Linked DNA regions of Sus scrofa. The protein of the gene in region 1 purifies or fractionates together with the protein of each later gene. This does not show direct contact. Links are inferred from orthologs where the notes say so. Each region holds a gene or a part of one and is shown on either strand. Other genes may lie near its edges. The genes, in order: RPAP2, POLR2G and RPRD1A.

Region 1 (3,651 bases):
CCATAGTCAAGCAATGCCAGATGCAAGCTGCATCTGTGACCTACACAACAACTCACAACGTCACCAGATCCTTTAACCCACTGAGCCAGGCCAGGGATTGAACCCATATCCTCATGGGTACTGGTCAGGTTCATTACCACCGAGCCACAATGGGATCTCCTGAGTAATGCTTTTTTTGAAATAAAATACACTATCAGTATTTTCCTTTGTTATAGCAATCACTATAGATTACTTTTTCCTCCTGCCTCAGAATTATTTCATGAATTTTATAATCTACAAAGATGCATAGCAGAAATTTGGGGGGGGTTTGTGAGTTTTTTTAAATAATAGCTAACTAACATTTTTTGAGTATTTACTGTGTGTTGAGAAGCACTTTTCTGAGTGCTTTTCCTTTATTTTCTCCTCTGTTTCTAACATCACACCTGTGAGATAGGTACTGTTCTGATCCCTGTGTTTTCAGATGAGACTGACGAGGCTTAGAGAGCTGATAAATTTTTCCAGTCATCTGATGGGAAATGTCCATATCATTTCACTGCAGGGGAAGTTCATCACACCTGCTCACTACAGTGACGTCGTGGACGAGCGTGCTATTATCAAACTCTGCGGCTATCCCTTATGTCAGAAGAAGCTAGGAATTGTAAGTAACTACTTTTTTTTTTTAAGATGTAGACTATTAATTTTTATATTTAGCAAAAAAAATTGTGTAGAAAGAGTAATAAATGAAACTGAGGTCATGAACGAATGACATGGGTTAGCCTAAGATATGCTCCATAGATGACTTAATCTTGGTAACTATGAAGTTCATGTTTATTACTTGAATTTTTTTGTAAGCTGTATTTTCTTTTCTTTAGGTACCAAAACAGAAATACAAAATTTCTACCAGAACCAATAAAGTCTATGATATTACTGAAAGAAAGGTAAGTTTAAAGGCATTTTCAATGTGGCAGTGGATATATAATATTACACTAAATGGGATTCTAAAAATAGGCCTTTAAATTTTCGCCTTGTAGAAAATAGCCATATTAAGAGTTTTTCATTTGTAAATAATTTCATTCAAAATGTTAAAAAAAAAAAAAAAGAAGAAAACTCTTTGCTTACACTTTAGTTGATATACAGACCTTTAAAAATTAAAGGTGCATATTGGCACAAATTCAGGCAAGTGAATCATAGAACAGAACAGAGGGCCAGAAACAGAGGCACTCCTTACATGGACACTGGGTATATGACATCAGGAGTATTTTAGATCAGTGGAGAGAGGATGAATTTTTAATTTTTTTATTTTTGGGGGTGAAGGAGAAAAAGGTAGCTTTATTGCTTTACCAGGTGAAGGGGGCCACAGCAGGCTAATGTAATGCCTTAAAGACTGTGCCCAAGGATGGATTTTTAAATACATAGTAGTGGCACAATTATCCATTCCAAAAAAGTGAAAACTCTATCTCTGTGTATATAACAAGCTCACTTTTAGGTAGATTAAGAACCCAAATGTAAAAGACAAACCTTCTCAAAGACATTATGGGAGAATATCTTTATCAACTTCAACTAGAGAGAATTTCTTAAATAAATAGAAAATTATAGACCATAGACTAGAAACAATTGAAAATGTTTGCTTATTAGAAGTTTCTAAAAAAGAGTGAAAAGGTAAGCTACAAATCAGGAGTTATACTTCTCACATATAACTGCCCACAGATTCATAACTAGAACACATCATCTATAAAAAAAGGTAAAAAACTTGATTAAAAAATTTTTATGGAAGGAATCTGAATGGTTCATGAATATATGAAGGATGCTCCAGCCTCATCAGTAGTTAGGAAAACAGCAAATAAAAACACACTGAGTTACATTTTTGCAGCCCCTAAAGTAGCAAAATTTTAGAAATCTGACGATATTAGTAACTCTTTATACTCTGGTCCAATAAGAATTGGTACAATCTTTTTGAGAAGCAGCTTGGCAGAGTCAAATAGGTGGTCAAGTTTACACGGTCTTTGTGGCCATTCTCCTCTTCTTCTGTGTCCACCCTTGTCCGTGTGCACTAACCTATACGTACATAGTGGGGAGGGTGTGAGTGTTCCTCGTAGGGTGAGCAAAATATGTACACACATAGCACGGACTGTTACATGGTCTTAAAAGGGAAGGAAATTTGGGCACAAGCTGCAACTGAATGATCTGAAAACATTATGCTAAGTAAGAGAAGGCAGCACAAAAGACAAAATACTATACGATTCTACTTATATGAGGTAATGTGTAGTCAAATTTGTAGAGACAGACAGTAGACTTGTGTTTGTCAGTCGGGGAGGTGAAAATGGGGAGTTATTGTTTAATATGTATAGAGTTTCACTCTTGCAAGATGAAGAGAGTTCTGGAGATGGATGATGGTGACAGTTGCACAACAGTAAGAAAGCACTTAATGCCTCTGAATTGTACAGGTAAAAATGCTTCGATGATAAATTTTGTGTATTATACCACGGTTTTTAATTTAAAAAATTATAATTAAAAAAAGGTTCATAGTAACATTGTAATGATAACTAAAAGTTAAAACTCAGCCTTAACAGTAACTAAAGGGGAGTTCCCTTCGTGGCGCAGTGGTTAACGAATCCGACTAGGAACCATGAGGTTGACGGTTCGGTCCCTGCTCTTGCTCAGTGGGTTGACGATCCGGCGTTGCCGTGAGCTGTGGTGTAGGTCGCAGACACGGCTCGGATCCCATGTTGCTGTGGCTCTGGTGTAGGCCGGTGGGTACAGCTCCGATTGGACCCCTAGCCTGGGAACCTCCATATGCCGCGGGAGCGGCCCAAGAAATAGCAAAAAAAAAAAAAAAAAAAAAACAGTAACTAAAGGGTGGAATACTTAGGCATTGACATATAATACACTGTATAAATGAATAAACTATACCTACACAAATGAATCTCAAAAACATAACATGGAAGAGAGGACTCTAGGAATATGTAACTATATGGTTCCATGTAGACAAAGTTTAAAGGTAAGCAGAACTGAATGATGTATTTTATAGGAAATGTATGTGGGTAGCAAAACTGAAGGAAAGCAAAGGAGTAACGCAGAACCCGTGATGATAGTGGTTGCCTCTGGGGAACTCGGAGAGAGATGCCATCAGGGAGGGACACGTAGAAGCCTGCAAGGTTCTCTACTTTCCTTCTTACCCTGGCTGGGAGATTCAGTGGATTTCGTTTTTTTTTCTCTGAACTACATATTTATATTTTATATTCTCTTGTGCATGTAAGGTGTGTTTCACAATAAGAAAAATAATTTGCTGGTTTTTAAATGTTCTTTTCAGTGTTTTTGCAGCAATTTTTGTTATAAAGCATCTAAGCTTTTCCAAGCACAAATTCCTAAAACTCCAGTGTGGGTTCGAGAAGAAGAAAGGTAATTTAAATCATTCCATATACGTTTATTCATGTATTCTAATAATTTCTTTCTGCCTTTTGAGATATGTAGAGAACAGGTCTGATTTTCTTTGGGATGCATTTACTGTATACATTTTAGTTGTGGGGAAATGGTTGTATCTCAAGCAGAACTATTAAGGATTTTACACTTAAAATCAGAAAATTAACTTACAGAAATGTTAGTTGTTTGCTATTTTAGCTTTAAGCACAAAATCTGAACTTTGCTTTCTGCTGTGGTGGCTATTTCTATTAA
Region 2 (4,197 bases), on another chromosome or scaffold:
CTCCTGGGTCAGCACATTAAAAGGACGCTTCAAGAGATGGTCACGGGGAGTTCCCACTGTGGTGCAGTGGGTTAAGGATCCAGGATTATCTCTGCAGCAGCTCAAGTCTCTGCTGGGATGCAGGTTCAATCCCCAGCCCAGCACAATGGATTAAGGGTCCAGCATTGCCACAGCTGTGGCTCCAATTCAATCCTTGACCTGGAAACTTCCACGTGCTCCAGGTGCAGCCCAAAAAAGAAAGAGACGGTCAGGAATGAATGTCTCCTCCTTAGCCCCACCTAGCCCGCCTGGACTTACATGTCGAGAGATGAAGCAGGACATGGGCCCAATTTCTGTGAAGAGTCCGACCTAAAAGGGAAATGAATGACCTAGTTTTTTCTTTTGTCCCCATTGTCTGCTGAGCATCCCGTCTTTATCTGCATCCTAATAATAGTCTTCATGTTTTGAAACCACTCTGAAATTTGGCATTTGTTTTCATTTTTCTCTCCTTTTTCTTTTTTTTTTTTTTATTTTCCCACTGTACAGCAAGGGGGTCAGGTTATCCTTACATGTATACATTACAATTATATTTTTTCCCCCATCTCTCCTTTTTCAAACTTTCACTTTATGTTAACAGAGTGTAGTAGTCAACACCTGAGGCCTCGAACCTGTCTGTCTGGAATCTGAACACTTGTCGGCCACATGACCTTGGCCAGCAGTCTTCTCCAAGCTTCAGTCCGGAGGTAAAAGCACTCGCCTCACAGTCATTGTGAGGCTTTGCACTTCACCTGGTGCACAGGATCTATTCAATCAATGGAAGCTACTGCTCTTTTGACTCTTAATGTTGACTTACATTTTACACCTGCCTGAGTGAGGCAGGACAAGATTCCCATGCCATCTGGCAGGTAAGGACACCTGAAGCACAAAGAGGTGATTTGGCCAAAGACACAGAGTTAGCAAGTAAGAGTTGGGGCCCATCCCAGATTTTCTCAGGACTTCCCATTACCTGCCCTGTGGATGGACTTACCTTGTTGACTTGAGTGACAACAGCATCCACGACCTCCCCTTTAAAGGGCCGGAAAACGATGGCCTTGTACTTAACTGGATAAAGGACAAAGCCTCGGCCTGGCTGGATCACACCAGCACCGATATTGTCAATGGTGGTGACAGCAATTACAAAGCCATACCTGCAGGGAGGATGAGAAAGAGAAAGGTGTGGAAGAGCCTCTAAAACCATCTGCCACAAGAGGAGTTCTGGTTGTGGCTCAGCAGAAACGAATCTAACTGGTATCCATGAGGACACAGGTTCAATCCCTGGCCTCACTCAGTGGGTTCAGGACGCCGGCATTGCTGTGAGCTGTGGTGTAGGTTGCAGATGTGGCTCAAATCCGGCGCTGCTGTGGCTGTGACATAGGCCAGCCGCTACAGTGCCGATTCCTCCCCAGCCTGCGAACCTCCTATGACACAGGTGCAGCCCCCCAAAAAAAGACAAAAAAAAATCTGCCACAAGAGTCACCGAGCCTGGGGGTTAAAGGGCATCACAAAGGGCAAGTAGATGGCACTCCTGGTCCCAGAGAACTTAATGATCAAGAGAGAAGACAGGGCAATGACCAGCATCTACAAAGCCAAATGCTGATCTCATAAGTTCACAATAAGTGTCCAAAAGGGCTGCAGTCCTTGAGCCAAGAGACCTCAATCTCTTTTTAAAATTTATTTGGCCTGTGGCATTCAGAAATTCCCAGGCCAAGCATAGAACCCACGCCACAACAATGACAATGCCAGATACTTAACCTACTGAGCCCAGGTACTTCCACATGCCAAGGGTGCAGCAAAAGAAGAAAAAAAAAAAAAAAAAACATACATATATATATATGAAATGCATATCCCCAGGCCTGTCCCCAGAGATATGGGGATGCTGTAAGGATGACATGAGGCTCAGGAACCTGTATGTTCAAAAGACACCCCCAGTTGCTCTGATGCTGGAGCCCCAAGTACTCCATGGCCCTGCTCATCCTGGTTTGTCTACATCACCAGATGAGAGGTCCCTCTGTGCAGAGCAAAGAGACGGTCAAACGTCAGTGCTCTTCCTTCCTCCCCCTAACTCTCAATCTGCTTTATCCTGGTCACTCCCTCATTCAACACACTTTTAGTGAAGCCCAATGTGCCATGACAGGTCCCTGGGCGTGGGGGATAAAGAAAACCAGCAAAATCCAAAGAGACTATGAGCTCGAGCTGGCCGCTTCTGTCTTTCTCACTGCATTATTCCCAGGGCCCAACACAGAGCCTGGCACACAGCTGGAGATTTGGAAATGTTTGTAAAGTAAATGAATGACCAATCTTGGCTGAGGGAAGTTAGTCCCGTTATCCAGCTTCGCAGAGGGCATCATGGGAACCCGAAGCAGGAAGCAAATGACTGCCTGGGCCGTCTGGGTGGGTGAGAGGGCTCTCCAGGGTAGACAGCACAAACTTTCAGGACTTGAGGAGGGGATGAAGGCACCGGGCGCCGAGGGCGCACTGCTCAGGCAGCACGGAGAGCGGGACACTCACTTGCCGGTGCAGGTCCCCTCCACTTCAGTGAAGAGCTTTTGTTTCACGGTGTTAAGAAGGTTGGGGCCGAAGTAGCGCGGATGCAGCAGGATCTCGTGCTCCAGGGAGATCTGCGGAGAACGTGGGATGGAGACCAGGCAAGAAGCGGCCCCCTACTCCCGGCCTTCCGCTTCGCTCCTCCTCTCGACCCTACCCTTGCCGCCACCCCGGGCCCTGCTCACATGGTAGAACATCTTCCCGGAGGAGGCTGGACAGCAGCCAGGCCGAGAGCAGCCAGGCTTAAAACAGCGACAGCAGCAGCAGCAAAACCCCCGGCAGGACCGGAAGTACACCAACCTCCCCAATCCCGCTTCCGGGCCTGCCCCAGAGAGGTGGGCGGGAACACGTCTCGTCTGCGGACTTGATTGGGCCCCGTTTTCGTGGGCGGGGAAATCCACGAAGCTCCTCCCCCTTCGTCCAGTCCACCCTCTGTAAAAGCACAGGACGCTCACAAATTAGCAAGGCCAGGTCTAGACAAGAAGTTCAAACGGTGGATTTAATTAATGAGAGACGTCATAAATAAAGCGCTTTAGCAGAATATATTCATTCAGCAAACAGTTGAAGACTGCTTTCACAGAGTAAGCATAATAACTATCTGTTCTTATCTGGAGAGAACGGAGGCCAGGACCACAGCAGCCCTGACCCCTCTCCTTCCCTCTTTTTGAAGCCAGCCTCCCTGCAAGAGCAAACTTACCTGCTGACAGTGGTGTGCTGGAGCCCCTGCAAAAGCCAACTGTTACTATTTCAGGAATTTTGCAAGCTAATTCTTAAACACAGCCATTATTAAAATGTAATTGTCTTAAAATTAAATGAATATTTGAAAAAAAAAAAAAGGCAGCGGTGCAGATGAAACAAGTTTGGCAATGACTTTTTTTTTTTTTTTTTTTTTTTTTTGGTCTTTTTAGGCCTGCACCCGTGGCATATGAAGGTTTCCAGGCCAGAGGTCGAATCAGAGCTGTAGCCATGGAACTGCGTGTGCCACAGCCACAGCAATCCCACATCCGAGCCCCCTCTGCTAGCTACACCACAGCTCAGGGCAATGCGGATTCTTAACACATTGAGCGAGACCAGGGATCAAACCTGAGTCCTCATGGATGCTTAGATGCGTTTCTGCTGAGCCAGGAGGGGAACTCCAGGCGATGTATTAATGATTGTTGAAGCCAGATGATGGATAAACTGTGGCTTTTTATATGTTTCCTTCTACTTTTGTATGTTTAAAATTGATCATAATAGAGAGTTTCCATCGTGGCTCAGTGGTAACAAATCTGACTGGTATCCATGAGGACTCTGGTTAGATCCCTGTCCTCAATCAGTGGGTAAGGATCCGGCGTTACTGTGAGCTGTGGTGTAGCTTGTAGACGCCGCTCAGATCTGTTGTTGCTGTGGCTGTGGTGTAGGCCGACAGCTACAGCTTCAGTTGGACCCTGGCCTGGGGACATCCATATGCTGCAGGTGCAGCCCTTAAAAAAAAAAAAAGTTCAGGAGTTCCCGTCGTGGCGCAGTGGTTAACGAATCCGACTAGGAACCATGAGGTTGCGGGTTCGGTCCCTGCCCTTGCTCAGTGGGTTAACGATCCGGCGTTGCCGTGAGCTGTGGTGTAGGTTGCAGACGCGGCTCGGATCTCGGATCCCG
Region 3 (3,651 bases), on another chromosome or scaffold:
ATACTTAGCAATCAAATCTTCTTTCTACACAAAATAAGACTGCCTGATATATAATATACAACATACTACATTAAACTAGAGCAATTTATTAATCAGAAAGTAAGACTTATTCATACAGCTTCTTTCTGGTACTCAGAACTATAATAAAAGTCAATATATAGAAGTAAAACACTGAAATTAATAAAGCTTCGTGAGTACATGAGGTACTAGTAATGTAACTCCTTTTACAGAGTAAAACTGCTACCTGTGGTGGTTCACTTGGAGATCCTAGAGAGGAACAGTTCTCATTCTCATCCACCTGTATCTGTTCATAAGTTCGCTTCCTAGGCTTCTTATCACCATCTGAATTGAAAAAATTGAAAAAGTTTTAAGGAGAGAATACATTTTAATGAAGAGACAATGATAAAAGATTATATACTTACAAAGAGCTTGCTTAAGTTGTTCTAATACATCATTTTCATAAACAGACCTTTCTTCCCAAATAGATAACACTCTTCCAAGGTGCTTCTTACAACTTTCATCAGTTTCACTAAAGAAAAGATACACATATTAACAGTAAAAGTGCATAGTGCTACTGCAAAAATAATGGTGATTTTAAATACAATGGCACTCATTCCCTGAAAAAAGTTGACCAACGTTTGCTGAGTACCACAATGTGATCAGCAGTTCAGGGGTGAAGTGACCAAGACAGACATACTCCCCACTTTCCTTAAAGAGCTTAGAGAGACATTATTAAACAAAGAAATTACCAAAAAATAGTAGAGGTGACTAGGGGTTATCAAGAAACCCCTAACCTAATGGGGCTGCACATGCAGATAAGAAAGATTTCTGGAGTTCCCGTCATGGCACAGCAGAAATGAATCGGACTAGGAACCATGAGGTTATGGGTTCGATCCCTGGCCTCGCTCAATGGATTAAGGATCCAAGGATCCGGCGTTGCCGTGAGCAGTGGTGTAGGTCACAGACTCGGCTTGGATCCCGCATTGCTGTGGCTCTGGGATAGGCTGGAAGCTATAGCTCCAATTGGACTCCTAGCCTGGGAACCTCCATATGCCATGGGTGTGGCCCTAGAAAAGACAAAAAGACAAAAAAAAAAAAAAAAAAAAAAAAAGAGAGAGAAAGATTTCTAATGGGTGATTTTTAAACTTATGTAACAAATATTTATTGATCAAAGTACTACCTCTGATAACTAGTGATACAAACGGAGCTTTATGGCAGCTGTTAAGTGCCACAAAAGAGAACTGGGTGTTAAACACAGGCATAACAGAGATTTGGTTCAATTCAAAAGCGATCAGGAAGGGTATCTGAGGAAATGATACATTTAATCTGAGTTCTCAGGACTGGATATACAGAGAAGTGGGAAACAGGCTATTTCCAACCACTTCCCACTGCCTTCATCACCACCACCACTGTAGACTGAGCCACTATTATCTCTTGCCTGGATTTCTATAACAGTCTTCTTATTGGTCTTGCAGGCTCTACTCTTTCATTCTATTTCCCACTAATGTAAATTAGATTATACTCTCAATCCTCTAAGAACCACCAATCATATCAAAAATAAAAGTGAAATCCTTAACCTGGGCCACAAAGTGGACATGTTGTTTCCTAGCTACCTTTCTGCCCACATTTTCTAAATACAATTCTCCCTACTGATTCTCAAACATTACAGCATGTGGCTCTCTCACTGTTTCTGCCACTGTTTTCTCTACCTAGGATCCTTTCCTCCCAGATAGTCAAATGGCTCTTTTCATCCCTCTGTTCAAATACCACCTCCCCCAAACAGTCCATCTTTACTCATGAAATAACTGACTATCATCATACTCTCTAGTTCCTTCCTTGCTTTATGTTTCTTCACAGTACTTATCTTTTGACACTGTAAGATGTATTTACTTGTTTATCTAGTTATTACCTTTGTCATCCACTGAAAACGTAGGCTCCACTAGAAGAGAACTTTGCCTTGTTCACTACATAGTAGGTAGTCAATAAATCTTTTATTAAACTCTAGGAAGGGGCATTATATATTTAAAAAAAAAAAAAAGCCTAAGGCAGAAAGGACTAAAAGAGGTTTGATTAGCTTAAACTGTGTAGACTATATATATGCATGGGGGAAAAATGGGGGAATCCCAAGAAGTAGACTAGGCCATGAAGGAACACCTGAAGTCTTACTCAGGACCTGAGAACAACTCAAAGGCAAGAGAGTATTATGAACAGCCTGCAACTCTGGCTACAGTTTCCTACATGGATTTGCAGGCTACTGCAATAACAGAGAAATGCCATTATGGTAACTGGAATGGAAAGAACTCTAAAGAACTGAGGGAACCATATGTACACATGGGATAAGGGGAGCGAAGAAGAAAGGACAGTGTGATATATTACAAATCACTACATCACACAGAGTTCAAGATAACACCTGATTTCTCAAAGGGGCATCCAGAGAGATGGAGCTGCCATTCATCAAGAGAGTGAACCCAGAGGAGGACCAAGTCTGTCAGGGAGGAAGGACATGAGTTCAATAACAGTGAGTCTGAGATGGCTGGAGGCATCCAACTAGAAATTCGATAGGCGGAAGTTCTCTTATGGCATGGCAGGTTAAGGATCCAGTGTTGCCATAGCTGTGGTGCAGGTCGTAATTGTGGCTTGGGTTAGATCTCTGGCCCAGGAACTCCCACATGCCATGGGTGTGGCAAAAAAAAGAAGAAAGAAATTCAATAGGCAACTGGATATACAGGACTAAAACAATGGAAAAATATCTGGACTGGAATGTAAGACTGTCAATTTTTATTTTTATTAAACTGATTGCATGTAATGTATGTATGTATCACCCCGAGGGCTAGTAAAGAATATGACACCAGAAGAAGGCCTAGGACTCAACTCTTAAAAAACAGCAGCACCTGAAAAGATGGTAAAAGACAGCATCTAAGTTGAAGGGTAAATAATATTAGTTTAAGAAAGCAATGTATAGCAGTGTTTCACACTGAAATTTTTAAAAATGCATCTACTGTGATTACACCTGCAGGGCATGTGGTGAGTATATTTTCATCCTTAAATCATTCAACATAGATCATCATTCAACCCTGAATTCTATAATTTAGATCATAATTTTATAACTATTAAAATTATAACTAAATTTATAATTGAATTATAAATCTAAATTATCACCTACCTCAATAATATTTATCCAGTAATCTACCATATACTTGCATATAATGTTTGGAAATATACAGACCTCTACCTTCAGCGTTTTTCTGTAGCAAAATTTTCAACAGGTTTGTGATTATCTTAAATATTCCATATTTCCAAAGCATTTTAAAATGTTATACGTACCCACACACTAGAAAACCTTAAAATTATTATAGTACTAAGTTTTACCAGCAGGATTAGTTGGAAGATTGATAGTTTTATAAGCACAGAAGTTTTCAATATAACAGATTCATTCATTCTTAGTGAATTTTATTCCAATATGGCAGTTGCTTCTGGTCACTTAAGGAAAACGTACTTGAAACGCCCACCTTAGCCAAAAAATTTTTCATACTTGAGTACAGCAAGTATTCAACACATTTACAAATGCCATTATAGGTAAGTCTTTTTCAAACGAAAACGTCAAAGAAATATATTGTTTTTTATTTTAATGTCTTAAAGCAAGTTTTAGCA

What was found.
Region 2: the proteins of RPAP2 (region 1) and POLR2G purify together in Homo sapiens (affinity purification with mass spectrometry; 5 studies listed by BioGRID and IntAct, counting the BioPlex papers as one, with this or other methods). This does not show direct contact. The link is inferred for Sus scrofa from reciprocal best matches to the Homo sapiens genes RPAP2 and POLR2G.
Region 3: the proteins of RPAP2 (region 1) and RPRD1A purify together in Homo sapiens (affinity purification with mass spectrometry; 3 studies listed by BioGRID and IntAct, with this or other methods). This does not show direct contact. The link is inferred for Sus scrofa from reciprocal best matches to the Homo sapiens genes RPAP2 and RPRD1A.

What each region holds. Positions count from the first base shown.
Region 1 is NC_010446.5:124,756,813-124,760,463, reverse strand, and holds part of RPAP2 (putative RNA polymerase II subunit B1 CTD phosphatase RPAP2), read left to right. Parts: intron 1-538; coding exon 539-637; intron 638-851; coding exon 852-917; intron 918-3,289; coding exon 3,290-3,378; intron 3,379-3,651.
Region 2 is NC_010444.4:9,005,733-9,009,929, forward strand, and holds the start of POLR2G (DNA-directed RNA polymerase II subunit RPB7), read right to left. Parts: upstream 2,900-4,197; 5' UTR 2,760-2,899; coding exon 2,748-2,759; intron 2,637-2,747; coding exon 2,527-2,636; intron 1,167-2,526; coding exon 1,007-1,166; intron 349-1,006; coding exon 298-348; intron 1-297. UniProt on the Homo sapiens protein: Core component of RNA polymerase II (Pol II), a DNA-dependent RNA polymerase which synthesizes mRNA precursors and many functional non-coding RNAs using the four ribonucleoside triphosphates as substrates.
Region 3 is NC_010448.4:119,799,409-119,803,059, forward strand, and holds part of RPRD1A (regulation of nuclear pre-mRNA domain-containing protein 1A), read right to left. Parts: intron 530-3,651; coding exon 423-529; intron 343-422; coding exon 245-342; intron 1-244. UniProt on the Homo sapiens protein: Interacts with phosphorylated C-terminal heptapeptide repeat domain (CTD) of the largest RNA polymerase II subunit POLR2A, and participates in dephosphorylation of the CTD by RPAP2.